Coturnix japonica: one gene and its partners. The protein of the gene in region 3 purifies or fractionates together with the protein of the main gene of each other region. This does not show direct contact. Links are inferred from orthologs where the notes say so. Each region holds a gene or a part of one and is shown on either strand. Other genes may lie near its edges.

The links.
Region 1: the proteins of OCIAD1 (region 3) and MTCH2 purify together in Homo sapiens (affinity purification with mass spectrometry; 3 studies listed by BioGRID and IntAct, with this or other methods). This does not show direct contact. The link is inferred for Coturnix japonica from reciprocal best matches to the Homo sapiens genes OCIAD1 and MTCH2.
Region 2: the proteins of OCIAD1 (region 3) and SLC6A8 purify together in Homo sapiens (co-immunoprecipitation; 3 studies listed by BioGRID and IntAct, with this or other methods). This does not show direct contact. The link is inferred for Coturnix japonica from reciprocal best matches to the Homo sapiens genes OCIAD1 and SLC6A8.

What each region holds. Positions count from the first base shown.
Region 1 is NC_029520.1:552,864-562,516, reverse strand, and holds MTCH2 (mitochondrial carrier homolog 2), read right to left. Parts: upstream 5,559-9,653; 5' UTR 5,487-5,558; coding exon 5,400-5,486; intron 5,326-5,399; coding exon 5,241-5,325; intron 5,165-5,240; coding exon 5,058-5,164; intron 4,981-5,057; coding exon 4,954-4,980; intron 4,887-4,953; coding exon 4,833-4,886; intron 4,759-4,832; coding exon 4,701-4,758; intron 4,592-4,700; coding exon 4,540-4,591; intron 4,455-4,539; coding exon 4,395-4,454; intron 4,050-4,394; coding exon 3,956-4,049; intron 3,865-3,955; coding exon 3,820-3,864; intron 3,746-3,819; coding exon 3,678-3,745; intron 3,413-3,677; coding exon 3,337-3,412; intron 3,245-3,336; coding exon 3,158-3,244; 3' UTR 3,017-3,157; downstream 1-3,016. Other genes in the region: NDUFV1 (NADH dehydrogenase [ubiquinone] flavoprotein 1, mitochondrial), read left to right, coding at 32-244, 318-484, 564-645, 738-883, 961-1,044; NUDT8 (nucleoside diphosphate-linked moiety X motif 8), read right to left, coding at 1,296-1,541, 1,622-1,699, 2,234-2,366, 2,457-2,677; AGBL2 (cytosolic carboxypeptidase 2), read right to left, coding at 5,725-6,295, 6,369-6,466, 6,536-6,633, 6,744-6,870, 6,947-7,109, 7,211-7,978, 8,060-8,210, 8,287-8,388 and 3 more; FNBP4 (formin-binding protein 4), read right to left, coding at 9,503-9,593. UniProt on the Homo sapiens protein: Protein insertase that mediates insertion of transmembrane proteins into the mitochondrial outer membrane. Catalyzes insertion of proteins with alpha-helical transmembrane regions, such as signal-anchored, tail-anchored and multi-pass membrane proteins.
Region 2 is NC_029527.1:9,106,218-9,115,963, reverse strand, and holds SLC6A8 (sodium- and chloride-dependent creatine transporter 1), read right to left. Parts: upstream 4,964-9,746; 5' UTR 4,860-4,963; coding exon 4,811-4,859; intron 4,520-4,810; coding exon 4,255-4,519; intron 4,184-4,254; coding exon 4,051-4,183; intron 3,903-4,050; coding exon 3,768-3,902; intron 3,682-3,767; coding exon 3,578-3,681; intron 3,504-3,577; coding exon 3,379-3,503; intron 3,309-3,378; coding exon 3,196-3,308; intron 3,129-3,195; coding exon 2,991-3,128; intron 2,617-2,990; coding exon 2,514-2,616; intron 2,440-2,513; coding exon 2,339-2,439; intron 2,134-2,338; coding exon 1,963-2,133; intron 1,478-1,962; coding exon 1,346-1,477; 3' UTR 954-1,345; downstream 1-953. Other genes in the region: epidermal differentiation-specific protein-like, read right to left, coding at 1-65; sodium- and chloride-dependent creatine transporter 1-like, read right to left, coding at 4,977-5,056, 5,154-5,354, 5,676-5,757; USP19 (ubiquitin carboxyl-terminal hydrolase 19), read right to left, coding at 8,797-9,030. UniProt on the Homo sapiens protein: Creatine:sodium symporter which mediates the uptake of creatine. Plays an important role in supplying creatine to the brain via the blood-brain barrier.
Region 3 is NC_029519.1:59,794,448-59,804,339, reverse strand, and holds the start of OCIAD1 (OCIA domain-containing protein 1), read left to right. Parts: upstream 1-4,657; 5' UTR 4,658-4,753; coding exon 4,754-4,804; intron 4,805-5,332; coding exon 5,333-5,417; intron 5,418-7,432; coding exon 7,433-7,486; intron 7,487-7,968; coding exon 7,969-8,016; intron 8,017-9,038; exon of another isoform or gene 9,039-9,892. UniProt on the Homo sapiens protein: Maintains stem cell potency. Increases STAT3 phosphorylation and controls ERK phosphorylation. May act as a scaffold, increasing STAT3 recruitment onto endosomes. Involved in integrin-mediated cancer cell adhesion and colony formation in ovarian cancer.

The DNA of each region.
Region 1 (9,653 bases), on a different chromosome or scaffold from region 3:
AGTACCACTCACAGCTCTCGATTCCCTCCAGGAGTCTTTGGCTGTCCCACCACGGTGGCTAATGTGGAGACGGTGGCTGTGGCCCCCACCATCTGCCGCCGTGGTGGTGCCTGGTTTGCTGGCTTTGGACGTGAGCGTAACTCCGGGACAAAGCTTTTCAACATCTCTGGCCACGTCAACAACCCCTGCACAGTGGAGGAGGAGATGTCGGTGCCGCTGAAGGAGCTCATTGAGAAGCATGCTGGTAAGCACCATACTCAAATGCAATGGGACGGTCCAGCCAGGCTTGGCTCAGTGTATCCCCTCTATTTTGGCAGGGGGTGTCCGTGGTGGCTGGGACAACCTGCTGGCTGTCATCCCGGGGGGCTCCTCCACCCCACTGCTCCCAAAGTCAGTGTGTGAGACTGTGCTGATGGACTTCGATTCCCTGATACAGGCGCAGAGCGGGCTCGGAACAGCTGCCGTCATTGTCATGGATAAATCGGTACAGGGTGAGCCCTCCCCAGGCTGCCCCGTCCCCTGAATGAGTGTTCCCTGAGTGTGTCTCCTTCCTTCCTCCTTAGACTGACATTGTCAAAGCGATCGCTCGTCTCATCGAGTTCTACAAGCACGAGAGCTGTGGGCAGTGCACCCCGTGCCGGGAGGGTGAGCATGGGGCTGTGCCATAGGGTCCATCACTGTGTCACAGGGTCCATCACTATGACACAGGGCCCATCACCGTGTCCCTGTCCCCACAGGTGTTGACTGGATGAATAAGGTGATGGCCCGCTTCGTGCGGGGCGACGCACAGGCAGCTGAGATCGATGCCCTGTGGGAGATCAGCAAGCAGATTGAAGGCCACACCATCTGTGCACTGGGTGATGGTGCCGCTTGGCCCGTGCAGGTGAACTATGGGATGGCAATGGGATTTGAGGGGATTGACTCTCAGCCTCACCAACCCTGCTTTGTTTCTCAACCCAGGGCCTCATCCGCCACTTTAGGCCGGAGCTGGAGGACAGGATGCGGCGCTTCGGAGAGGCCAAAGCACGAGCGGCCTCAGCATGAGGAGGTCAGAATGGTGGCAGCAGTGGCAATGTGCTTTCGCTGCTCCCGGTGGGTTCTTGCCCAGTCTTGGGGCTCCTTAATAAACACTGCTGCAACTGAAGTGGTTTGAAACATGGCTTTTTAATAAAGTCACATCTAAACATCAACCAGTGGCACAGAGAGGGTGGACAGTGGTGTAACCATGCCACCCTCCATCCCAACACTTTCTACCTCCATCACCCCCAGAGCCTCGGCTCCTTCCAAAGTGCAGCTCAAGCCCTTTTTTGGGGAGCAATGACGCCGCGGGCAGGCACGTGGGTCTTCCTGCAGTACAGGTCGGGTGCCAGCAGCTCCAATGTCAGCTCGGTGATGATGGCTGTCAGCCCCCAGATGCGGTGGGGGCCGTTGAGGAAGACGGGCAGAGTGTAGCCGTAACGACCCGCAGTGCGGAAATGGGTGTAGCCCTGGTTCTCTTCCTGCAGGAGGTGCTCCAGAGGCAGAGTGAAGACCTCAGCCACCTGTAAAGGCAGGAAGAGGGTTGGGGGGACACACCTGGGTGGCATCGGGGATGGGGATGAAGTTTAGGGGGGTCACCCACCTCATCAGGGTTTGGGGACAGTGTCAGGTCCTCCAGGGGTCCCAGGTTGGCCACCACGGGGACCACGAGCATCCCTTGCTAGCAAGGAGCACGTGGCAGAGGGACAGGGTGATAAATGGCACTATGCTGCAGCCACCCCATATGTCCCATCCCAAACCCACCACGTCCCTGCCACCTTATCCCCAGCCACCCCATGTCCATCCATGTGTCTCCACTGCCCCACTCTCCATCCTGTCACCCTGTTCCCAGGCCCCACTGTCCCACCTCCCAGCCCCATCCTCCCTGAACCCCAATGTCCCCATCCCCACACACTCCATCCCTGTATCCCCACCAACTCGCCCCATCTCCACTGTGTCCCCAGTGTCCCTGTCACCTTGGTCCCGGTCACCTCTGTTCCATTTCCCAGCCACACGGTGTCCCCATTGCCCCCAGTTACACTTTATTCCCAACCACCAGCCCCGTGTCCCCCGATCCATGCCCCATGTCCCACTGCAGTTACCCCCACATCCCCATTCCGTTCCCAGCGTCCCTGTCCTCATTCTTCCCCATACACTGTCCCCACCCTTCCCATGTCCCATGTCCCCCTTGTGTCCCCCTGTCCCCGCTCCGTACCCTCTCGGGCAGCCCTCGCAGCCGCCCCCATACTCTGTCCTCCCGCAGGTTCAGCCCCAGCTCCTCCCGAGCCTCTCGCAGCGCGGTGCCCTCCGCTCCACTGTCCGTCGCCTCCCGTTTCCCCCCGGGGAAGCTACAACGGGGCGGGGGGGGGCAGCGCTGCGGCAGGGCCGGTTGAGTGGGGTGCCCCCCACCCCATAACCCCCATCTCCCTCCGCACTACCTCACATCGCCGCCGTAGGGCCCTCGCAGCCGGCTGCAGCGCAGCGTATAGAGCAGAGCGGGGCGGCCCCGCACGGAGCACAGCGGCACCAGCACGGCAGCCCCCGCCTCCCCGCCTCCCCCCGCCGCCCCCTCCGCCAGCAGCCGCCGGCAGCGCCGCTCCGTGGCCCCGCACAGCGTGACGCGATGCGGGACACCCCTCACCCAGCTGCCCACCCGCATGACTGCACCGCCCCGGGACGGAGGGAAGGACCGCCCCCCGCCCCCCCGGGGGCCTGCAGCGCTCCCAGCGGCTGTACGGCGTAGTTATGGGACGCTGGGTACATGGGTGCAATAGGGTGCAGCCTCCCCTGCAGGGCATGCAACGCCCTGAGCGGGCGTGCAACGCTGCTGCCGGATGTACAAAGGACTGCAGCAACATAAGGTGTGCCTGAACCTTCCCCTCCTGCCCCACAGCCCTGACACAGCACATTCAAGCCTCTTTGGAACAGTGGAGATCAACCAGGCAAGGCAGGATCCACCCCCCCACCACAAAAGCCCCACAACAGACACTCACACAGATGTTTTTCATCGCTCAAAATTAAATGATTAAAAAAAAAACCAAACAAAAAAACAAAGTATAGAAATCACCACTCGCTCATAATTGTTTCTCGGTAAAGATCAATGTGGGTTTATGGCTCCGCTCCCCCCCACCCCCCCACTTCAGCGGAACCTCCTCTCATCCCACACGTATCGTTTCCCTGCGGGCACCTTGCGGAAGAACAGGCTGTTTCCTCTGCTCATGTTGCCCTGGAACAGAATGAGGAGCAGCATGGGAGTCATTCAGGGCTGCCCTTAGCCCTAAAACAGCCCCATAGTGGCAGCCCCATAGTGGCTCTTACTTCCTTGTGCAGCTGGCTCCAGCAGTCCAGCCAGGAGGAGTAGGCGGGTGCATAGGGGAGCAGGCCCCCAGCCAGCCTGGTAAGGAGAGCACAGTGTTATTTCCACCCAGGGATAACATAGGACCCATCATTCCGCAGCCCTGAGCTCCATCTGTAACACTGCTGAGGCTCCAGCTCCCACCCCGCACCTCCCCATGGCCACGCTTGCTCAGCCTTGGGGGGTTGGGAACCATTCTTGCCCTCTGGGAGCTTCCTTTGGGGACATCTGACGTGGCTGGCACGCACACATGGTGAGCATGAGAGACGAGGGAAGGTGGTGGTGGTGGTGGCAGTGCGCTCACCCGCAGTTATTGACAGCCATCAGGTTGGAGACCAGCACGAAGGGGTATGTCAGCATGCTGGCGAGGAACTGCAAGGCAAAGCAAAGCTGCTCAGTGGGGAACACCATGAGCATCCCAACATGTCCCTGTGGGTTCTACTCACCCCGGTGACTGCCTGCGAGTAGCTCTTCATCTCCGTCATTGAGACCTGGGGGGGAGGAAGGCACTGTGAAGCCCACCTGGAGACCTGAGCATCCCTTGAGACTGTGATCACCCCCAGCCTGGCACAGAGCACATACCCCATTCTCCAGCGCGTATGTGTTGATGAGGTAGGCCAGCATGTTGCAGAGCCAGAGTGAGATGATGTCTCCAAGGAGCCGAGGAACAAGGCCCCTGGAAGGGAAGAAGTTTAAGGTTTAGGAGAAGGAGGCAGCAGATCTACACTCAATTGAAGAGCTCACAGCCTCAGGAATGTGGATACTCAGGAAATAACAGGCATGGTTTGATGCTTCCCCAGGCACCAAACAACCACATAGTGGATTACACAAGATGTGGGTGCTCCATCCCTACGGGTGCCCAAGGCCAGGCTGGATGGGTCCCTGTGCAGCATGATGTGATGGGGGGGTTTGTGGTCCCTTCCAACCCAACCATCCTGTGGTTCTATGAACGTGGGGCAGGTGCTGTGATTACATGCCATTAGCTTGCCCAACGAGTACATCCACAACCCAGAGCACTCACGCAAAGAACCCCAGGATGCCTTCTTCTCGGTAAATCGTGGCGAAGGCGCTTAGTGTTCCGCTGTACCAAGAAGAAGAGGAGAGGGCATCGGTCACACCAAACAGAGCCATGGGGGACATGGCTCCCTGTGGTTTCCCCCCTGTACCTGTACTTGGTCTCCCTGCCGATGAACTGCACCATGCATCGCAGGGTGATCACTGCGGGCAGAGCTGAGCTCAGTGTGGCACGGCGGGACGGCACCGAGGCCATCACCATGATGTCCACAGAGGCAGAGTGGTGGTTATAGGGAACCACGGGGGTACGTACCGTGGAAGGGGTGGGTGATGAGGGTGGCAGCAGAGCGAGCGACCATCTCTTGGGAGGTCTGGAGGAGAGAAGAGCTGTCAGAGGCAAAAAGAGCGGGCAGAGGGGAGCCCTGCAGCACCTCCTTCATCTCACCTCCTTCAGCACCTGCTCCAATGAGGACACGGGCTCCTTCTTGCTGGCTCCTGGCTGCAGAGAGGCAAAAGCATGAGGTAACCCCTGGAAATACCCCCCCAGCCTAAAAGCCCCCACGTACCTCAGCCTTCTCAGCCTCCTGGTACCGCTGTGGAGAGAAGCACAGTGTCAGCACTGACCCACCAGCGGCGGCTGGTAATGAACGCACGCAGGGGGGCACGGTACCTGCAGCACTTTGCTGTGCACCACGGTGCCGATGGCGCTGGAGCAGAGCCGGGGGGCCAGGCCTTTGAACAGCCCCGCTCTGCCATCCACCTTCACGATGTGTTTGGCTGCAGGAGAGACGGGCGGCATCAGAGACCCGCTGTGTGATACCGCCGCCGTACGGGGCCGTGCTGGAACACTCACCGTAGGCAAAGAGCCCTGGAAGCTGGTAGACCTGGCGGCCGAAGATGTTCCTGCCCAGGGTGGGCGGCAGCGGCTCGTATCCCACCTGCGGTACGACAGCACGGACGGTCCCCACGGCCGCCCCCCGAAGCGCTGCGCCGCCCCCCGGCCCCCCCTTACCTGCACCAGCACCTTCACGTACATGAGAGGCTGCGAGAGCACGGTCAGCCCCGAGCCCAGCAGCAACTGCGAAGCCTCGTCCGCCATGCTGCCGCCCCGGCGCCACGGCCCAAAGGACACCTCCACCGCTTCCGCTTCCGCCTCCTGGCGACTTCCGGCGCGCTCGCTTCCTACTTCCGGTCTGGTCGCCATTGCGACGCGGCCTACGTAACCCTGGGAGCCCGAGGCCTGCAGGAGCATGAGGACAACATGGCAGCCGGCCCTCGGCAGCCCAGCATCTCCCCCCATGCGACACAAACACGGCGCAGCCACGACAAAGCTGCCTTTAATGCCGAGTGCAGGCGGAGCAGCGCAGCGCTGTGAGGCCGGGCCGCCTCCCGCAGCCAGCAGCAGCAGCAGCCACACGCAGGGACAGCCCCGCTGTGGTGCCCCGTGGGGAAGGCCGCGCCCTGCCCTGCTGTGAGGAAGCAGTGCTGGTGGAGATGGGGGAGATGGCACCCCGTGTGGCCATGGCAGTGCTGTGGCGGTGGTATGTGGTGTGTGCACCTGGAACGGCTCCGTGCAGCTCCTCTGCTTCCTCACGGCCTCTTGGTGTGGGGACGGGGACAGATGGCGACGGCTGTGGCTGCTGGGGCACAGAAGTGGGGCTGAAGGCACTGCGAGTCCCACTATGGCAGGCAGAGGTTGGCTGAGCCACGCTCACCGGGTCACCGCTGTGACTCCATTGGGTGGCATTGGGCCTGCGCATGGCATTCCTCGCTCTGCGGCTCCAGAACCGCTTCCTCCTCCTCAGCTGCAGCTGAGGTGCCACACTGGCACCTTGTCCCTTCTGTCCCCAGGGGCTCTCGCTCCTCTCCAGGGACCCGTCAGACACGGAGCTGTCAGAGCCGCTGGTGCTGTGTGAGGGAGAAGACAACTGCAGCCAGTGCCACTGTCACTGTTCCCATGGATGTCACCACCGGGACACACCTGGACTCCAGCTCTGAGGTGGAGACGTCACTCCAGCTCTGCCCAGAGCCCAGCCGCTGCCGCAGCAATGCATCCACCTCCTCCAGGCACTGCTGGAACTGTATGATGGAGCCGGTGTCATTGTCACTGCACTGCGGGGCTGCTGCTGCCTGCAGTCACCCACCCACCTTGGCTGGATTGGGGTCACAGAAGTCTAGCAGTGTGTCACACAGGTGGTACCCCAATGATTTCAGGTCCTCCACAGTGAAGTGTGAGTTCCTCCCACCTGTGGGATAACAAAAGAAGTAGTTGCATCCCTCACCAGGCCCCAGAGCCTGTCCTTAGGGCTGGACTTGGGCTTCTGAGTGTGACGCCATCACCAGCGCTGCCCCTCACCCAGTGTGGAGCCACCAAAGGCCGCCTCTAAGGTGTAGCTGTTGGCAATGCCCATCCTCCACATGACCACCCTGCCCGTCCCCTCCTTGCTCTTCTGCACCTTGAACTTGCAGCTGGAGAAGGAGAACTGCGGCCCCACACCGTGACAGCAACCGATGTCACTGTGCTGCTGCCCACTGCAGGTTACCAGGCGCCAAGCCCACCTTGTCAGGTGCGTTTTTGCTTAGCATCAGTGGGAAAACCCGCTCCCGCAGCCGCATCTCAGAGCCATCCCGACCACCGTCGCAGCCGTACATGAAGACGTTGTTCTTGCGGCTGTGCCCGTGGAAATCACAGTACAGCACCACCTCCCTCTCCGCCAACAGCCTGCAGGTACCAGTCAGGATACAGCATCCAACACCCCACAGGTACCATTAAGGATATAGCATCCAACACTCCTCTGGCTGCTCTTACATCACCAACCTCACCTCTCCACCATGGCCCGCAGGTGCCAGACGGCTGGGAAAGACCCCTGAGACCCCGTCCTGTAGGCACGGTTGGGGTCACGGCCGGCCAGAGAGCAGCGGGAGTTACCCACCACCACCCCATCGGGGTTGAGCATGGGCACCACCTTGAAGACAAAGAGCTGGCGCAGGAGCTGAGCATCAGGAGCGGCGCTGAGGATGAAATCGAGGAAGCCCTGCATGGCCCAGGAGCCACCGCTTTCTCCTGGGTGCACCCGGGCACTCAGCACCACTGCACGCTTGGCTGCACCGCCGGATGGAGCAGTGATGGTGAGCATGTAGACCATGTTACCGGCCAGGCTGCGGCACAGCACCCGCACTGCACAGTACCGTGAGCGCGCTGGGTCAGCCGCCACTGCCTGCAGGTACCGCTGCAGGTCCGAGTAGGTGTAGGGGTAGCAGTGGGCGAAGTAGCACGTGTCGCTGTCGTGGGGAAAGCAGGCGCTCCAGGACAGGCGGAAGGCGGCCGACTCCTCCCCGCTGCCCCCTCGGTAATAGCGGATGTTGGTGCCGATGCGGCGCCAACCGATGCCGTGGCTCTGGGCATCCTTTTGTGAGTAGAACAGCGGGCACATGCCCTTGCCATAGAGGCTCTTCGGCTTGGCCAGATTGGCGATGGTGAAGCAGTAGGAGGTGTCTTTCCGTGTGTTTTGCACGCGGAAATAGAACCACTGGGTGTGCTTGGCGGTGTACAGGTCTGGCCGCAGCGTCAGCACATATTCATAGGGGCCCCTGGTGGGCAGAAGGGCCACACTTAGGCACCTTGGCACGTCACTGTGTCCCGCTGCCTGTTCCCATCACCACCACCCTTACACCTTCACTGCTTTCTGGAGGTTGCCACCCTCAAAGCGCGACTCAAACAGCAGCGTGTTGTCCTGGGAGCTCTCTAGGGTGGCTGCCGGTGAGGAAAGGGGGCCTGGGGCTCCCCCAGCCCGAGCACGGGTGAAGCAGGAGCTTGAGGGCACTGGGAACAGCTGGGCTTAGCACCCCAGGGGTAGCACGAGGGTGAGGAGGGGGGGAGCAGCACCCTTGGGCACTACCTGGGTTGAGCTGGTAGACGATGGTGCCCTGCTCCTCACCCATTGGTAGCTGTGGGTGGTCTGTGGGCTGGTAGAAGGGTTCTGGTTCAGGGGGGATCCATTCTAGGGAGGGATAGAGTCAAACCCCATTATCGTCGCAGGGGTTAGCCATGGGGACAAGGATAGGAAAAGGCAGAGTGCTACCTCACCAATGTGCTTGATGGTCTCCTTGATGACCTCACACTCAATGGGCCAGCGGGGAGCAGGAAGTGGTCCTTGTGCTGAGGGAAGGGCAAAGAGAGCCCGTGGCTCCCTGGGTGACTCATAACCCTGCAAGGGGATCATCTGCAGGGCCCTGGGGGCTGCAGAACGGCCCAGGGAGCTCCCAGCCCCGTGGTGCAGTTTGAGCAGAGAACAGGCAGCACGAGCTGGAAGGGATGGAGACAACGCTCCTGGTGTCACCTTGCCAGGAGTGCTGCAGCCCATTGCTGGGGGTTCTACTCACAGCTTGGGTCCTTCCCCATGCCCCACTGGGTGCCAGAGTCAGCACAGTGGCATTCAGTATGTCCCCATGGAGACACAGAGCTCTGCTGGCTGGCTGGCTTCTGGCCTTTGGGAGAGCATTGCTGGAGCCCAACCAGGATGGGGGTCCCACAGGCTGGGGGACAAGAAGGTGACACGCAGCTCTCACCTTGGAAGTAGCCGTAGTAGCACAGGTGTCCACGCATGAAGCTGTCGTAGGGCTCAGGGACAGCCTGGACAGAACGGTGCCATCAGGCCCTGCTGGCAGCCCCCAGTCCTCCTCCCAACCCCCCCCCCGGCAACCCCCAACCTGTGCAGCTGGGTGCCTTGGGAGCCACATGGCTTCGAGAGGAGCTCAACCCTCTTCTTTCCCCTTCTGTTCACAGACGCGGTCGCTCAGCGACCGCTGGCAGTGGTGAAGGATGGGGCGTTCCCAGAGTGGAGCTGGGAAAGGAGCCAGAGGAACCGAGTTGTTTGCTGTGCCCTGGTGGACACCAAGGGAAGCACATACATGGCCCATACCCCTCAGTGCCCATACTGCAGGTGACACTCCATCCCCAGCCCACAGTGTCAATCCAAACACGTGAACCCCAAACATCCCTCTTGTCATTCAAGCAGACGGCACATCCCAAACTGCTACAATTTATTGGACAACAGTTGAGTCATAAAGGGCTCCAAACTGTACAACTGTAAAAAACAGCGCTCCACGGACGCTTCATGTGCTCGATGCGGTTTTCCTCCGCTTCAGCCGTGCTCTCCAGTCCTCTGGCAGTGCTTCGAAGTTGGCGTTCCTCTCCGCCATGCCACTGCAGGGACAAAGCAGGGTGTCAGCACCCATGTGGTGCAAAGGGACACTCTCCCCACCA
Region 2 (9,746 bases), on a different chromosome or scaffold from region 3:
TCGCAGGTGAACTCACGGCTCAGCCCCTCGAAGTCGGCGCGCTCATACACCGTGATCTTGTTCATGGTGCTGTGTGGCCCGCAGCCCCTGCACCTCCTGTCCCCGGCTGCCCTCCCTGCCCCGTCCCGCTGCCTCTGCTCTCTGTGTTGCTGTGCCCCAACGCCGCCCCGCAGCCGCTGCTTTTATCACAGGGCTGTGACATGCTGTGACATGAGGGCCCCGCCACGGCCCCACGGACCCGCACAGCACAGCGGGATGCCCGCAGACCAGCCCTGCCGGATCGTCCTGCCGCACCCCAGGCACATGGCGCTCCAGCACTAACGAGTCACCGGCAATTAGTAGGGGAGCTTCCGCCCTGCCTGCACTAATTATGGTGTGAGATGGCGGTGGGGCCGGAAAGGCTGGATCACAGTGGTGGGGTGAGAGGGTGCAGCGGTGGGACCAGCCAGTGTCCCAGGATGAGACCCCACTGTGCCCCGGTCCCACTGGGACTCAGTGCAGCCCCTGGCACAGCACAGCACAGCCACTTGGCATGGCATGGCCACTTGGCACAGCACAGCATGGCATAGCCCCCCACCACGGCACAGCACAGGGTGTTACAACAGAGCCGTATGACATGGCGTGGTGGTGTGACAAGGCATGATGCAGCGACGGCCTGGGCAGGCGGTGCCACTGTTCCCTCCCTGTCTCTCATGATGGGGACATCCCTGACCTCACTGCTGGGCAGGATGCCCATGGACTTCCTGGGGCAGCATACACCGCTGACACCCCCAGCCCCACATCAAACACAGGCTTGTGCAACTCTCAGTCCCACAGCCCTCCCACAGCCAAGTGGGCACAGGGCAGCAGCTGCCTCCTGCAATGAGAGGTGGCCCCTTCTCCACAGCCCCTCAGTGTCACCACCCCCACACCCAGTTCCTCCCAACCTGGTGCCACCATCCCAAGCCGGGGTGTGCCAGGGTCTCCCAGTTTATTGCCAGATGTCGGGGCGGTTGGGGTTACACCAGACAAACGCTACAGAAGCGGTTAGTGAGCGAAGTGCCACCGGCCGGGGCGGCCGGGCTGGGGGGCAGTGGGGCATAGGGACGGAGGCCAGGGAGGAGCTGTCCTACTCACTTACCCCCTCCCACCACCCACACCCCATGTCTTACACCCCCCTCCCGGCGCTGGGGACCCCCGTGGCCGCCCCGTCCCCGTGTCCCCGAGCGGTTCCCACCACCCCCTACTCCCTGCATAGAGGCTGGGACAGTGCGGCGGGGGGGGCCCAGGCGCGGGGCTGCATGGGTGGGAGGTGGTGCTGGCATTATTGCTATGGCGGGCGGGAGCAGCGCGACCCTCCCCACGCTCAGATCACAGTCTCGAAGAGCGTTGTCTTCTCCTTGGGGGGCTCTGGGGCCAGCAGCTTGGCTTCGGCCTCGGGCGTCAGGTACTCCAGGTGGTGGTGGCCCCAGATTGGCGTGGTCAGCAGCTGCCAGCGCTGCAGGGACATGGGGTCAGCATTGGGGACGTGGCACAGAACAGAGCATGTGGGTGGGGATGGGGTTTGGATTAGGGGGGACGGGGACAGAGATGGCGTTTTGATGGGCATAAGGCAGGGATAGGATTTGGACTGGGAGGAAGGGATTGAAATGGGACTGAGAGAGGGGGTAGGGCAGCAGTGGCAGGGTGAGGATGGGGACTGAGATGGCACTGAGAGAGAGACAGGGATGGGGACAAGGATGGGATTTGAACAGAGACAATCATAGAAGCGGGGATGAGATTTGGATGAGGTTGGCTTTGAGCGAGACAGCGATGGGGACAGTGATGAGATGGGGAGAAGGCATCAGGGATCAGGATGGGATTCAGCTCAGGATGGGACTGAGCCACCAACGTGAGGTGATGGGATGGAAATGCCAGAAGGAACAGGGAATGGATTCAGGTGCGGACGGGGACAGGGACCAGGGTGGCCCGGTGCTGCCTCACCTCGCGCAAGGAGCCTTTGCAGCGCAGGAGCTTGTAGATGACAGTGCAGGGGATGCAGAGCATGGAGGAGAGAGCCAGGACCCAGCCGATGGCGTCGCCCCACCACGGGTACACGTAGGTCTTGTTGTACGTCAGCGGTTTGTAGTTCACCACGTGGAACAAGAAGATGCCCTGCGCGGAGCGGCAGCGAGCTCCCACGGCCGTCCCCACGCGCGTCCCCCCGCACGAGTGTCCCACCCCCCACCCACCGCCGTGCCCGCAGCCGCCGCCGGGGGGAGCCCGGAGCCCGCGGAGCTCCGGCCGGGGCAGCGCGCACACGGCCACGCGAGGGCGCCCGAGCGCCCCCCGACCCACGCGCGACCGCGTCCCCGCTCACCACGCAGACCAGCGGCGTCACCACGGCCCAGCACCACTTCATGAAGGGCAGCGGCCGGTAGCCGATCATGCGGGCCACGTCGTCCATGAAGCGGTCAGCGCCTGCGGGGACGGGGACGTCAGCGGGGTCCCACGGGTGTCCATCCCTGCACCCCTCCCCATCCCCACAGCCTCACCGTACACCCAGGCGATGACCACGCACTCCCAGAACGCCTGCCACAGCAGCGTGATCCCGCTGGCTGAGTAGTTGTCGAACAGCTGGAACACGTACATGCCGCCCTGCGGGACAGCACTGCGTTCACCGGGCTGCTCCATGGGCACCCAAATGGGACAGGGACCCCAAATGGGACGGGGACCCCAAATGGGACAGGGACCCCCCAGTGCTATGGGCACATTCAGTAGCACAACCTTCCCAAATGGCACAGACCCCCCATATGTCATGGATCCTCTAAATGGCACAGACAGCCCAACGCCATGGGCACCCCAATGGCACACACAACACCCCAAACGGCACAGACACCCCCAGTCCAAGAGCACTCCAATGGCACAGCCACCCCAGATGGCACAGACACCCCACACAGCCATGGAAGCTCCAGCCCCATGCCACGGGAAGGCACAGCCCGGCCCTGGCCCATGTCCGTGCGCGTCCCCACCTGTGTCACCATGGAGAGGTCGATGAGGCAGCAGACGATGCAGCAGAGCGCGGCCGTGAGCTCACGGCGCAGTGAGCCGGCCCCCGGCTGGGGGAACAGGTCCAGGATGCCAGTGATGAAACCCTCCACACCGACAAACTGCGGCACACAGAGGGGTCAGCAGGGGCACAGGGTCCCAGCCCCGTCCCCGTCCCCACTGCCGTACCTGGCTGTCCAGCCCCAGCACCAGGAGCATGAAGAAGAAGAGCGTGGCCCACAGCGGGGACAGGGGCATCAGTGTGACGGCTTTGGGGTAGGCGATGAAGGCCAACCCGGGACCTGCAGGACAGTAGGGTGAGCGGTGCCACCCGCTGTAGGATACACAGGGCCCGCAGCACGCACCACTCACCCGATTCGGCCACTTTGGAGATATCCACGCCCTGCTCTGAGGCCATGAAGCCCAGCACGGAGAACACGACGAAGCCAGAGAAGAAGCTGGTGGAGCTGTTGATGACGGCCAGGATGTAGGCGTCCCTGTGGGCACAGTGGGTTATGGGCTGTGCAGGAGCTCTGTGGGGCTCTGCGGGGTCCCGGCGGCGCAGCCCTACCTGTAGCAGTTGTTGTGGAAGCGGTTGTAGCTGCCCAGTGCCGTCAGCGCGCCCAACCCGATGGCGTAAGAGAAGAAGATCTGAGTGCCAGCGTCGATCCAGACCTGGGGCATGGGGACGGCGCTGGGGTTTAGGGGCACTGCGTGTCCCTTGTCCCTCTCCATGGCCTCGCTGCCCCCCCCGCCCTCACCTGCGCCTCAGCCAGCTTGGACCAGTCGGGTTTCAGGTAGTAAACGATGCCACCCAGTGCACCGGGCAGCGTCACGCCGTGCACCAGCAGCAGGATGAGGACCACGTAGGGGAACAGCGCCGTGAAGTAGACGATCTGTGGACAGGGAGCTGGTCAGAGCCCCGTGGGGCAGGAGGTGCTATGGGGCAGGACGCCCCGTGCCACTTGTGTCCCCATCAGGGCTGGGGTTTGGACGTCCCCAAGCACTGGTGGCACCTCCCGTACAGCCGTGGGACCGCGTTACCTTCCCGGTTGACTTGACACCTTTCCAGATGCAGAAGTAGACGATGATCCAGGTGGAGACCAGGCACAGGATCATCTGCCAGTTCATCTCCCCCGGCTCGCTCAGGTCCCCCGACAGCCGCAGCACTTTGTTCCTGCATGGCGGGGTGGCACTGAGCACCAACACATCCCCGTCCCCTCCGCCCCGCGCCGTCCCCACACTCACTCCCAGAACTCGATGACGGGTGAGCGCATGTCGGAGCAGCTGACGTTGAGGGCGGTGGCGGCGGCGCTGGCGTTGGCGCTGGCGTTACGGCACAGCTCCAGGTGGAAGAACTCTGCGCAGCGCTCCGTGTTCCACGCGTGGCCGCAGGTGGCCCAGGGCAGCTTGTCGGTCAGCGAGTGCACCAGGTAGAAGAGCCCCCACACCAGGATCATGATGTAGTAGGAGTTACAGAAGAAGACGATCACCATGGAGGCCAAGCCCAGACCTGGAACGTGGCGGTGGGGTTGGCACGGGGCTCTGTGTGCCCACAGTGATCCAGGGGGAGAGGATGTGCCACGATGGCGGGGACGGGATGTGCAGGTGTGGGATGATGGGCAAAGGGATGGCGTGGGATCAGCCATGGGCACAGTGGGGACTCGTGGCTCTCGGGGACGGTAACGGGGAGCTGCAGGGCAGGGCAGGGAGCTGCCATCCTTGGCTGCGGGACACGGGGCGTGGACAGGGAGCTGCGGGGGCCCCGCGCAGGGCACGGAGCAGGGGGGAGGACGGCGAATACCTTTAAAGAGCGGAGCGATATTCCACGCCGCGATGCCCCCCTGCTTCATGAACTGCCCCAGGGCCACCTCCAGGAAGAAGACGGGGATGCCGCCCACGAAGACGATGAGCAGATAGGGGATGAGGAAGACGCCTGGGGGGGGGGACGCGGCCGTTCAGGGTACGGCTCAGCCGTGCCGTCCCCCCCTCGCCGGTCCCCCCCGCGCCGCCCGCCGGGCGCAGCGAATGGCGAGCGTCACTCGGCGCACTCCCCCTCGCCGCGCGCCGATGTAGGTCAGGGCGGGCAGGTGGCGGACCCCCACCACCCCCCCCCACACACACACACACCCCGCGCCGGGGCTCACCTCCTCCATTGCGGTAGCACAGGTAGGGGAAGCGCCAGACGTTGCCCAGCCCCACGGCGTAGCCCACGCAGGACATGATGAAGTCCATCTGCCGGGTCCATGTCTCCCGCTCCGGGGCGGCCGTTCTGGGGGGGCCGGGGGCTCCCACCAGCGGCGCCGTCACCGTCCGCTCCTCTCCCGCCGCGGGGGGCTCGGTGCCCTCTGCCGGGACACGGACGGGAACTGGGGGGGTGGGGGGGCAGCGCCGCGTCACCAGCGCTCACGGGTGGGGAGGAAGGGGGACGCGGGGGGGGGGGGTCCCCATGTCCCGCGCGATCCCCCCCCGCGCCCCTCGCTCCGCGCGTGGGGGCGTGACGTCAGATGTCAGCCCGCCGCGTGACGTCACAATGCGAGCGGTGACTCACCCCGCGCGGGACCGGAGGGGCGCGCCGCGGTCGCGCGTCGGCCGTGCAGGCCCCCCCCCAACCACCCCCCCCAACGCGCACCGCATCCCTCCCCGGCCCGGTTCAGCCCCGCTCTTACCGGAGCCCGTCGGGGCGGCGGCGTCGCGGCTCGGGGCGGCGGGAGGCTGCGGGGCGGCCGTGTCGGCGGGGACGGGGGGCATGGCGCGGGGGGCCGGGGACCGGGGGCGGCTCGGGGGCGGCTCCGTGCCCGGGGGGAGCTCAGAAGCAATCCACGAAGCACTTGAAGGTGAGTCGGAAGAACCTCATTGAGGGCGGCGGGGCGCGGCGGGGCGGGCCGGGCCGGGCGGGCGGCTCAGAGCCGGGCTGCGGGGCCGGCGCCGCGCGGCCGCTCCGGGGCTCTCTGCGCCGCGGCACCGGGCGGCGGCGGAGGCAGAGCCGGGCCGCGCCGCCCCTCGAGAGCCATTGGCCGCGCCGCCCGCCCGCGGCTTGCCGGGACTTGCAGTCCGCCCCACCGGCACCGGGACGCGGGCACCGGGCAACGGGACGCAGCGGGTGACGGGGCGAACACGGGGTGAACGCGGGGCGCTTGGGGCGGCAGGGCGCCCCGGGGGACGTAAATCGATACGAAATTGAAGGAGGAAAAGACCTCTGAGATCACCTAATCTGATTGCGATTGCAGTTCAACCTTCAGCCCACCCCCACCGCGCCTACCGAGCAACGTCCCCGGGCGCCACATCCACCGCGGTGCTCGGGGCCGTAGGGCACAGCGGGAGACACCTGGGTGCACGCGGGGACACGGGGCACGAGGGCACATCGGGTGTTCCCCGACAGCAGCGCCACGATGCACCGGCACGGCGGGTGACAGCGCCGGGATGATGCTGCATGGCAACGGGGGCTGTAGGGAACACAGGGGGCTGTAGGGGACACTGGGGCTGTAGGGAACACCGGGGCTGTAGGGGACACCGGGGGCTGTAGGGGACACTGGGGCTGTAGGCAGCGCGGTGGACACGCAGTACCCGGGTCGCAGCCCGGGGCGGGCAGCAGGCAGCAGAGACGAGCGGAGTTCAGCAAGTTTAATGAGAGCAGGACAAACCCCGACCCGTGCCCGCCCCCCACCCGTCCCGGTGCCCAGCCCGGCCCGCAGCCCCATGGCGGGTGCCCGCGCTGCTCTAATCGACTTCTTCCATGCTGCTGTAGGACGGCGCCGGGCGCTCGGCGGGGCTGGAGAAGCGCTCGGGGAGACCTTCCGCAGCCAGCGGCGGGGCTCCTTCGGGGGCCAGGCCGGATCCGAACGGCACCGCAGTCAGTCCCTGCAAGCAGAAGGCGGCCGTGAGACAGTGCACGACGCTGCATACCGCTCTACTCCCACTCCGCTCCCGGCAAAGGCCCCGGCTGGAACGCAACGAGCCCGGAGCGGCCCCGCACACGGCCCCGACCTGCCCGAGCGCTGCAGCCGGGCTGCGGCACGCTCAGCATCGCCGCTACGCGCCGTCCCGTCCCGCACCGCCGCCATGGGCCGCTGCGTTCGGTCCGGGTCCGCGGGGCGGGAGCGGCAGCACGGGACGGAACCGTCACCTGCGGTTGAGGCAGGTGCAGGGAGCGGTGCGTGGCCTCGAGCCCGGGGCGGCAGCGCCAGGCGGAGCAGAGGTCACCCCGCAGGCGCCGGGCGCTGACTCAGCCCCACGAGGGCAGCGCCGTGGGCGCGTGGGGGCCCCAGACCGCAGACAATGAGGCGACTGTTCCAGGGCAGGAACGTCCCGACGGCGGGGAGCACCGGGCTGGGACCCGTGTGCAGGAATAAGGGCCGGGCAGCACAGCTGTACGACGAGGACAGGGATGGGGGGAGGTGGGGGGACTCCAGGGGCTGCACTGCCCCGCTCCAGCCTCCCAGCGCTGACGGGGCCCCGACCGTTCCCACTGAGCATCCTTCCTGACACACACAAGGGCACTGCCGGCAGGACGGCAGCGGAGACGGAAAAGGAAGTCACAGGGCTCTGAAGTCACCTCTCAAACCCAAACACTCCCGAGCAGCCCGAGCCTCGCTCAGCCAAGGGCAACACGTCTCAATGTCACGCACCGCTGCAGCTACAGGCCTTGCCCCAGCCAGGCAGTGCTGTGAGCTGCCAGGCCCGCCGGGCACCCAGCACGTGCCACGGCTGTTGCTACACACCTGGGGCCCCTCGGCACAATCAGAGCTCAGCCTGCACCCCGCTGAGCACAGGGCAGCACCTCAGTGCCGGCTGTGCTGTGAGACCAGCTCAGGGGCAGGGCAGGGACACTCCATCCAGCTGCCCTTTGCACTGGAGCAGGCTCGGCTGCAGAGCCTCTGGCTGCTGCCACGGTCCTGTCACACAGAAGGTGCTGCAGCTCTTTGGAAAACCTGCCTTTATTGGCACACGCCGCAACGTGCAGGAGAGCGACGCTGCCAGCACAACCTCCCACGGGCCTCCTGCAGCCCAGCTCCTTCCTGCTGCTCCCCGAGCCCATGCCAGTCCCCCAGTGAGGTGCTGCCTCGTGCTCCCCCAGACCCATCCCATTGTAAATTGGGACTTCCAGATGCAGACAGGGACAGTTCAGGGAGTGCTGTGTGTGCCCCAGCACAGTCTGCCTGGGTGCTGCTCTTCCATGCCCCAGGGTGAGGAGCAGTGCTGAGGCCAAGGCCCCCGACTGAGCAAGGAAGTGCAAAGCACACGGTGACAAGTCATCCAGTCCCCGCACAGGAGATGATGCTGGCCTAGAGGGATACAGCTTCTGCCGGCTCTTTAGAATGTGAGGCTCCCAAAGCAGGGAGCAGTGGGACCAGCGATCGTGTCAGGGCATCCTGCTCTCACAACAGGCTCCGGGCAGGGCTCTGCTTGTTGCCAGGATGTTCCCAGTGGCAGCGGCACCGTCCTTTCCTGAGCAGCATGTACCACTGGGGCCAGCCCCGATCCAAGCAGGCAGCCAGGGCGAGGGCGGGCTGAGGGGATGCTGGTTCTGGGCTGTGCCCTGGCAACGCTGGGGGCCGGCCACGCAGCCCTGCCAGCTGGCATAGGGGATGCCAGAGCAGACAGACAGGAGCCGACAGCCCCAAGCTTCCCTCCGAGAGCATTGGTGCCCGCAGCAGGCGTGTCCTTCCCACAGGGTTCTGTCCTGCTGCCCGCAGGGTTCTGTCGGGCCACCTGGCAGCTCTGACGTCTTCGTGGTGCAGCATTCTGGCACGGCGTGTGCCCCGGCAGCCCTGCTCTGTTTGCCCACACCTATCTCCAGCGGGTTTGGTAGATGAGCGGGTAGAACACATTCAGGAAGAGAGCCACGATTGCGGCCGTGGTGGCCAGGATGAAGTATTTGATGCAGCCTTCGTCTGGGTGTTGGGGGGTACCCGGACTCCTCTTCTGGCCACGGGGCCTCCAGGAGTTTCTTGCAGGCCTTTGGGGAGCCTCGAGCTGCAGCTCTTGTTCTTCAGCCTCCAGTTCCTGCCAGATCAGAGAAGCCTGCGATGTGGAAACCTGCGTCAGCACTTGGAGAACACAACTGGCAACACCCCTCGCCATCCCCCGGGGCAGGCGGCCGCCTGCGAGCCCAGTCCCGTGCCCCACCAGCCCACCTCCCCATGCAGCACGGTCGCACCCGCCCCCACAGCTCCTCAGGCTGCTCTGGTGGGTGCAGGTGATGCAACAGGAGCAGTGTCTTTGCAGGAGCCAGCGGCTGGATCCCTCTGCAGTCGATTCCGTGGCACTGACGGATCCATGCGGGTGAGGGGGCGGGTAGCAGCCCATCACAGCTCAAGTCTGGTGATCCCAATGCGATTGCTCAGATGATGCCAATTCAGAGGCAGCTTGCATGGCAGGAGAAGGAGGCACGGTCGCAGCACAACCAGTCCCAGCTCTCCTCTGGTGGGTTGGGATCCTTTGAGAGCCAATCACAGCTCAGCTTCCAAGAGGATTATCTGCAGGCAGCCGGTCACAGCCCAGCCCTTCCCAGTGCTGGTGATCACGCAGGGCAGCCAATCAGGACACCGGGTCTCTGGAGGATGCAGGTGATTCCAGGCACTTGGAGACCACTCAGCCCAGTGAGATCCAACACATCCCATCACTGTGCAGGACACAGTGCTGCTGAGGTCGCAATGAGCCCCCAGGGATGCAGCGAGGCCAAGTGCTGCAGGGCACACAGCGGTCCCCAGCACGGCAGGGATCCCACAGCCAGCACA
Region 3 (9,892 bases):
TTGTATTAGATTTGGGGGAGGGGAAGGAAGGGCAGCACAGTCTTGGAAGAGACAGAGCTATGCAGCGTTACAAAGATATGTAGAAAATAAATCAGCAAACACAAGCTAAATGCCAGGAAAAAGAACTGCTACTTTTATATAAAAAAAAGGCAAAGCAACCCTAGTTGAATCAGTCTGGCTAACACCTATCACTGGAGCTGACTGGGATTTGGAGTGAGACCAAACAAGAATAACACTGAACTGCAAAACCCTCCCACACTGCCACGCTCTTCTCCAGCCCATGATCATTCCTGAGAGGTTTATTACAGCCCCAGAAGTCATAAAGGTTCAATGTTGTTTGGGTGTGAGCGTGCAGAAGTGCTGCACAGCGGTAAGCCACAGCCAGACTGCAGGAGGCAGCTGCTTTAGCACCGTGGGTGAGCTGCCCTGCACTTCCCACTGGTAGGACAGCGCAGGCCTGAAGATCCTCACGTGGTCACAACCCCAAACCGCTACCTTCATTGTTCTCACGGTGACTTGTGCAACTCATCTCTAACGCTGAGGTACCTTCATCTCACAGGGCTGTTGGAACACGACACCTGTGATTGCCCTTGAGCTATGGCTCAAATGCATACAAGAGCCACCACAAGCTCGTGGCTCTCTACACCAGAGGGAGCACATTCTATACTCATGATCTGGATTACATGAGCCCACTGAAGTGTACAGTCTGCCTGCATGCCTCTTACAGTGCTCGGACTGAAAAAGAAAGGAAAACATTTAATCCTTTGTGCCATAATGAACCAGCTGCCACCAGCCAAAGAGACCAAGATAAAACTCCCTGAAGTACAGAAGTAGATACAAAATAGGCAATTTCTAATGCAGAACACCTTGTTTTCCAAGTCGGTTTCTTTCATACATAGCCAATGGGAGCTGGGTTTAATTATAATCTTCTTAAGTTCTTAGAAAAAGTAAATACAGACAGGGTGTTCTCAATTGTATTAGCAAAAACTTTCTGCACATCAATTAATTTTAACCCCCAAAATTAGAAAGACAAATATTTACAGCAGAGAAAGAACAAAAACATTTGAGAAGCACTCTTGAGCTGTTCAGGGCTGGTAGAACACTGGAAAGGCATTAATACAATAATATGAACAAATGAGACGTTTACATAGTTACCTTGTAGTAACCTACAGCCCTCCATCTCCTTCCTGAAGGATGTAATGCTATGACATGATCACCAGCTGTGACTGTGCTCCCTTAGTTCAGGCAGCCAAACACACAAGTGAAGTTAGCTCAGTACCTCAACCTTAAATTCATCCTGAAGAACCAACAGAATCACAGAATTGTAGGGGATGGAAGGGACCTCTAGTGATCATCGAGTCCAACCCCCCCTGCCAAAGCAGGTTCCCTACACCACGTCGCACAACAACAGCTTTTCTTTTGAAACAAAGCTCAGCAGTACTTTTCTGTGATAGCAGATAGCATCCCAAAGCAACGTACCACCACTCTGCTTCCTGAGCAGGCACTGCCATCACATACCACCAGCCAGTGGCCTCCAGGAGCCTCTGCAAATAAAACAAGCTTCTGACGCAGAGCATTGTTCTCACCTGTAAGCACTCAACTTACTAAGCCTGCACTGCCATTTTTACCTGGGGTTATACTTCCTTCCTGTGATACACCACAAGATGAGGCACAGTGTGTGGTTTCCCACTGCTTGCTCAAGCTTCCACTGAGCTTCTGAAGGGCTGGAGTGCATTCTCAGTGCCACAGCGACAGCAGGGAACCTATAGAAAGGCACACTGCAGGAACTTCTTAAATAGCTACAGGTAAATCACCTCACGAAGCACAGCACTCTACATGCTCCACACTACTTTGTTCCTGCAAATACACATGGCTCTTTGTGGCCAGGTCAGCAACCTACCTACACTTTGCTATCTCTGGCCTCGTTTCAATGCCTCACCACCTGACCTATCATTTGCAACATACGAAGCCTAAGCTTGGGGGATGGCCAGGACACGAGTACAGAAGAGCCCACATGTTTTGCGTGTGCTCCCAGCTGCACTCAGGTCTCCGGTTCCGGGGAGATAAAGCCCAGGTTTCCTTCTCCTTCACCTCTGCACTGCGGCTCACAGCAAAGCCAACAAATGGCTCTGACAACTCAGCCTCAGCGACCCCCAGAACACGGTTTGTTTGGTTTTTGCTTTGTTTTCTGTTTCCCTTCCGATTCTTTCCGAGCTGGAACTAACCGTACAATCGCTACTGAACCACGGATTTCTGGCTAAAATACAAACTGAGCCGCTCGCCGAGCGTTCTTACAGCCAACCACAACGAGCACAGAAGCGAAGTAGAGCAAGTACACACGTTAAAGCCGAGCGGGGGGAGAACGCGGCCAATCCCCCGCCGCACCTACAGCAGCACGGGCAGCACAACGCGAGAAAACGAACCCAACGAGGCTCGGGCCCGACGCTGCCGCCTGCCGGGGCGGGGCCGGGAACAAAGCCTGCCTCAGGGCCGCTGCCCCCGGCGCCGCCGCACGGTCACTACGAAGCGCGGAACCTCGGCCCGCGAGGCCCGGCCGAGCGCCTCCCGGCCACGGAGCTGCCGCCACGCCGCCTCAACACCGCAGGGAACGAGCGGGGGAAGCTCGGCAGGGCCGGAAAGGAGGGACGGAGAGAGGAGAGGAGAGGGACGGAGCGAGGCGGCGGGGCGGCGCTCCAGCCGGGCGGCTGTACCGAGGGCAGCTGTGCCGAGCGCCGCCCGCCCCCGGCCCGCCGTAAACAAAGTGGCCCGGCCGCTCATCCCAACCAAGCCCCGTTTCCGTCGGAGCGCTCCCTCCCCCTCCCCACGGTCCGGCCGCCACCTCACCCTCACCGCTCCCGGAGCGCCGCCGCCCCGCAAAGCGCCGCCGTCGGGAAGCGGGCTCTGCCGCTCACGCCGCTTTATGCCGCTGTATCCGCCGCTCCCTCCGGTAACTCGACGGCCCGGCCCGGCCCGGCCCGACCTCCCGCCCCCACCGCCCCGCCACGAACCGCCGCTCACTGGGGCGCGAGCGCAGCACTCACACGGCACCGCCCCCACGCCCCATCCCCATTGGCTCCTTCTGGTCGAGCCCGCCCTCCAAGCCCCGCCCCGCGGCGTGACTCTCGGCCAATCAAAGCGCCACGCACGGCGGCCTGCTGTCAGGCGATAGGCTGAGGCGGTGGGTAGTCCCGCCCCCCCAGAAGCGCTGGCTGCCAACGGGGCCGCGCTGAAAGGAGCCTGGCTCCACGATGAGCAGCCAGGGACTGAGTTCCCACATCCCCCACAGCATCATGCAGGCTTTAACAACAAGCTGTTAGCCAGATTTACCCAGAACGGGAAGAATAAAGTTGTTATCTGTACCCAGAAGCATTAAATAAACTGCCTTCAGAAATGAGTTAAATAAATCAAACTATCGGGAATTCAAGTTATCTTGCTTTGGGATGAACGGTGTGTTCAGGTGTGGACAAGGCTTCGTTCGGTGATGAGCAGAGATTAAGGCTGGCACCGATCTGTGTTACCAGGCAGATCGCAGTCGCATTCTGTGCTAATTTCACTCACTCTACATGCACGTTCCCTGCTGATTTCTGACACCTTCAGCCTCTACACCTCGTATTTCCTATCTTCAGGCACAGGCTCTTTCTGTGCACTCATCTGGCAGCAGCAATTTAAGCCTCTTCACTTGAATCCCAGTGTTCAGAGAGCAGGGCTGGCTGCGGGGCTGGCAGGGAGCACTACATTCCAGGCATGTAGAGGCACAGCGCTGCACTGACAATTGGCGCAGCAATACTGACACTTTACAAGGAAGCTTGAAAACAAACCGCATTATCACAAACATCTCCCCTCTCCCCTCCATCCCCCTTCGGTTCTTCCTGCTTTCTCATCCCCAGCGCTCACCCGCTATCACCCATTGCAATAACAAAGCCCTGCAGGCTCTGCTTTCTGAGCACACTCCAGCACCGCTAAGAGCTGTGTGCCAGGTTCCTCCTTGGGCAGCATTTAAACCAAGGGGAAGGGAGCCCTGTATGCAGCCAAGCAAGGAGCCTGGTGCTAACAACACAGCAAATAAAAGAACAGCCGCATAGTGATTACCTTCATAGGATTCGCAGTGCCGCAGCTGTGCCTGCTCTCACGTTTATTACAGGGTGGCTCTCCTTAAGAAGGCAGGAAACGAGATAAGGCACAGGAAGGAAACGTTCTCTATTGAAATTAATGCTTTGCGTCCCGCCTGCTGATGCACCCAGCCTGTACACCGAGGGAAAGAAATAAATAAGAAAAAAAAAAGGGCAGAAAACAGCGGAGCGGGTCCAAGCACAGCACTGCCACAGCGACACGAGGCCCCACGTCCTCCTTTGCTGTTCCCACAGCAGAACAGCTGGCTGAAGCTGACAGCCCCGACCCAGCTCCCTGCAGCCCCGACCCAGCTCCCTGCAGCCCCGACCCAGCTCCCTACAGCCCCGACCCAGCTCCCTACAGCCCCGACCCAGCCCTACAGCCCCGACCCAGCTCCCTACAGCCCCGACCCAGCTCCCTACAGCCCCGACCCAGCCCTGCAGCCCCGACCCAGCTCCCTGCAGCCCGGTACCGACCAGGCCCAGCCCGGCACCAGGTTCGGCCCCACGCCGCCCCGAGCTCGTCGCGCATGCGCAGTGCTCCGCAGCACTTCCGGGTCGGCCGCAGCCTGGCGGAGGGCCGTCAGGGCGGTTCCGGTGGCGGTTGTGTCGGTGCGGCCGGGCCGTGCTGGCTGTGAGCCGCCATGGAGGCCGGGCAGGGTCCCGGCGGCAGGGAGCTCGGCGACCCGCCTGAGGTACGGCCAAGCGTCCGGCGCCGTTGGGCCTGGAGGCCCCGGGAGCTTGTGGGGGCCGTGCAGTACTAGGGCCGTTCCCGTGAGGTGCGAGGCCGCGGCGCCACGGGTGCACTGCGGTGTGGCTGCAGTCGGGCCCCGTGTAGCTCCGGTCAGGCCTTGGCCCGCCGTTCCGTGCCCTGTGGCCCGCCGTGCCCTTGAGGCCTGCTTGTCCGTGACCTTTTGTAGGTGGGAAGGGAAATGGTATAACCACAGCTTTTCTTTTCTTTGAAATTAGATAAATACCCAAAGCTATGATTTCACTTGGGGCCTCTGCACCTTGACAGGGAGTCCAATGGAGTATATCTGAAGGCACTTAATGTCCTCTACTCAGCTGTAAGATGGTTGCACAGGGAGCTGGGGAGAAGTGCTCACTTCTTCATCATAGCTGTGTTGAAGTACAGGCGCTATGAGGTCTGAAAGTCACAAGTTTTTAATGGAAGAATCCCCTTAAATCCTTTTGCTTTCTCTTATTGCTCTCCCCAATGAAAGAACACGGTCCCTAAGCACTATGTGCCAACAGAAGAGGAACGGAGGCTCCTCAAGGAGTGTGCTGAAGAGAGCGCCCGCTACCGAGGTGAGTTGGGTTTGATAGGACCTTCTCCCCCATTTGAACTAGGATGCATTGCATTCCCCTCCTCAATGACCTGATGTTGCCATTCCTGCCTCTTAATGTTTTTCTGAAGATTTCTTTCATTCCTGAAGCGCGGTAGTTTTTGCACATCACAGTGAAAAGTGGGGATGGGCTCTGATTTGTTAATCTTTTGTTTAATTTCTACACCTGCTAGTTATGGTGATTTTATGTTTGACTCCCAATTTTTGTTTCCCTGTGGCTGTTTTTTTAATTTTTAGTTATCATTTTATGTTACGTGTAGGCCCACATTGTAGCATTTGTTTCCACTATAATGTATCACTTGTCTTTGATGTCCAGAATATTTGTGCTGGGCTTATAAATCATTTCTGAGCTCTGAAGGTTAAGCTGAATTCCCCTGCAATAAGTTCTGCTAGATTTTTTAATGTAACTTTGTTTTTTCTTTTAACTTAGATTCAAATCTAAGCTCGCATTCTGTATCTCAGAGAACCTGATCTTATGGAAGATCTGCCGTAGCATCTCTAAAACTCAAAGGGTTCTAATATTCAGTGGATTGGAGGGTTACATTCTCTTTGAAATGTTGCTTTGTTGCTTTAACTTCACTTGTAAGCCATAGAGCCCGTACTTGTTCTTAAATGTGACATCTGGCCATGTTTACCCTAATGTTGGATTCCTAATCTATCTTAGCTCTGTCTGAATTTGGGAAGCAAAAAGCAACAGTCTGCAATGTGTATTTAAATAGTGTTGTAAAAATTAAAATTCTGTTTATTTTAACATAGGAACTTAATTAACAAATTACATGCTTCAGAACACTAAAAACTTAGTGCTGTTTACAATAGAAAAATATCCCCCTAGACGAAGTTAATGTAATTCAAGTAGCCTTTTTGTAACATCTATGTTTGCAGTCTTGCTTAGTATGTAATTTCGTTATGAGTTCTGATGCCATTACCTTTAACTTTGTCAACATTCTTGGATGTTAGGGGGAAGTTCTTCACTAGGAGAGTGGTTAGGCCCTGGAACAGGCTGCCCAGGGAGGTTGTGGATGCCCCGTCCTTGGAGGTGTTCAAGACCAGGTTGGACGAGGCCCTGGGCAACCTGATCTAGTAAATGTGTATGTTTGGTGGCTCTGCCAGGCAGGGGGGTTGAAACTACATGATCCTTGAGGTCCCTTCCAACCCAGGTCATTCTGTGATTCATTATTTCAGTGTTATTATATCTGGTGTGTTCTTGGTACTATGAATAGTTTCATAACAGCGTTATCTTCCAAACATTATAATTGCTTGGAAGCATTCCTTTTGCTTCGTGCCATCTCCAAGTACTTCCTGCTATCTGTAGTCATTCAGTGTGATAAAAACTGATGTAAATGGTCAAGCAGATTGTGACATGTAGTAATGCAGTTCTGCGTTCATTGCCTTCTCTGCATTTGATCCTACCCCAAAGTTGGGTAGCGTGATCCATAAACTACAAAAACAACCTGCTCTGTTATTTGATTGCTGATTGACTCTTTGATTTCATTGACTCTTCTGATTATCTCATTTTAATCCCATTGTTTTGTATCTCTTAGAGAGTTGGAATTATTTAAACGATCTCATAATAAAATCAAACCTTTTGATTACCAACCATTTTTAGAGGCACTGGCTTCTATGCAGCCATCTCTTCTAAAAGCCTGTGTAAACTTTCAGGTTTAAAGTGCTGTGTTTTGATGCTGTAGGAGCTGTAGCTGGATGTCAGCACCTTGTCCCTTTTCCCCAGCTGCAACTGGCTCTTAGGTTTTAGGAAGCTTGAAGTTCGAGGACAAGATGACACATTAACCAGTATTGCATAACTTGTAACGGGTCTCAAAAGCTGGAACTGAGAATGTTTCATAGCTCTTACAGTTTGTTAATTGTGCATATACTCATATAAATGAATTTAGTAAGACATAGTGTTTTTCGTTTTATTGCCTGTTCTGTTAATTACATTGAATACTGTGTTGAAATAACTTCTCTTCTTCTTCACAGCTTTTCCTTTGGCTGCAGCAAGCATGCTGGCTACTAGTTTCTTAATCAAAAAAGGTAAACTGTAAATATACCTGGTTTCACTTGTATTTGCTGAGATATGACCTTTCTGCTTAATTAAGGAGCTATAATAATTTTTACATCTATGGGTAACTAAGAGAGTTCAGACTTAAGCTATATGGCATGCACTTTCTGAAGCTAAAGAAGGAGCAGAACTTTAAATGAAAATAAAATTATTCTTCCTTTTGTTTTGCTCTACAAATACAGTATCACTATGACTATGAAACAATAGATTTGACTGAACGTAGTGGTACTCTGTGATATGATTAAAGAGCTAATTCTTAGGTTGTTAGAATTGCGTGGGCAATTGCAGTGTTAGGTTTTCTTGCATTCTTTTGAATGTTAACAGTAAAAGTGTTGTCCACTACTCTTGGTATTATGCAATAGAATTCTGATTTTGTATTCATAGAACAGTTAATGGGTTGGGTTTTTTTCAACTTAATAACTTGTTATTAATTACTTTGGTCTCTCATTTTCAGGCATTCTAAGAGATAGCTCAAGATTTGGCTCCTTTACTAAAGTTGTATGTAAGTAAAAGCTGTGTACAGATTAGCTGGCATTTGTGTCTTAGGTTCTGGAGTCTGTTACTCAGCTGTAACTCCCATGAAACCAGCTGGCTCACTGACTATGACTTCACTCTGTGCTTAGATCAGTAAAACTGCTTGAAGATCATGCCTACACAATCAGATATATCTAGTGAGTAAAGTTCACCTCCTGCAGTGGATTCTATCAGACAGTAACTTCTTTGCAATGTTTCTTAAAAACAGCATATGTTTCTTAAAAACAGCATATAATACTGGGAAAAAAAACTGTACACTATCAAGAGGTAGAGCAATTAATCATATTTGAATTTGTGCAGCAGATTTAGGACAAGTTTTCTTTTTAGGCTTTCTATATAGTTGTAAGATTGGAACTGTTCTTCACAGCAGTAATATGAGAATGAAAGATAAAAGCACTGTAAACAGGCATTGTATAAATTTCCTTATTTATTTTCCTTTTCATTGTGGTCTGCTGGGGGTCAGTATCCTTTGGTGATGGAGATTAAAGAGGAATCAGAAATTCATCAGAAATAAATTCATGCTTAGGAGTGTGTGTAGGAATGTAGCCTGTTGCTATTGAAGCATCTTATTCAGAGTGTTACAACTGTAAAGAACTAAGTAAAAATGTTCTTTTGACCTAGCTTTTGTATTTTCCTTGTCTGTGTAAACTTTGCAGGAGGGAAGAAACAAACACACACAAACATTTTCTTTTGCTATCACCTAAACTGTGTATACTAGCAGTTTGTGATGCTTCTATCAGAACCTCATTTTTGAACATATTTAATATTTGCAGAATCTGTTCAATATTTTTGCTTTGGCAAGTAGAACTTTTTTACATTGCTTAAAAGTTTGTAGGTCCAAATAATATCTCCTAAAATATTGGAACAATATACTGCTGCTGCAGTGCAGTTGGCTTGAAGGACTTTGCCAGGGTACACCCACCCCTCCCTTCCTAATTTGAAGGTCATTATTCATGTGTCTCACTTATCCCATTCATCCTATTTTAGTGCTTTTTTTTTTTTTTTTTTTTTTTTCCCTGGATGTTCTGTTATACAATTATGGGAAGACAGCAATTTCTCATGAATGATTTTGGGTTAACTATAATTAAAAAAAATAATAAATTAGCCATTTGAATGTAATACATAACAGTAAAACAGGAACTCACCATCTTGCCAATCTCCTTAGATGCAGCCAGTTACAGCCAGTTATTATCACAGTTTACTTCAGTGGGAAGAGGGCAAAAGCCATGATTTGTGATGAAGGAAGTGTTGTTTAGGCAGATAAATGAATGTGAGAGACCAGGGCTGCCATTTGTTTATAGCAAGTTCTACTTGCTTTTTTCGAATGCTAAACAGTACAAAGATTTCTAATGGATAATAGAATTACTATTTTCCTGACACCTCCTACGCATATGTCGCTGAAGACGATGTTCCATGTATTTAGCAGAACTACACTTTGAAATGGGCCAGACCAACTGTTCTTGAAACTGTGGCTAATACTTCTAACTTACCTTCAGCATACACTGGTGAACATATAGGCTTTCATTTTAAGTGAAAAGAATTTCCATTAAAAGTGTGTTTTGGTTGCCTTTCGGTAGGTTTGTGCAGGTTAGCAGATACAGTTTGATTACTGGACTTTTGGGGGGGATGCAGGTTGTGGTTTAAAAGGCTTGAGTTAAGCAGTTCTCATTCCATCCTCATTGTTTACGTCAGATGTGGCTACTGTCTACAGGTTCTTCCTGGAAATGATTGCCAGCTCCACGTGGTGTCTCATAGTTTAACTGTACATTCCCATTGCAGTGAAATCTGCTTGAAGGAAGCAACGCTGTTGTCATTATTTTTGTTTTCTTTTTCCCCCATGGGCT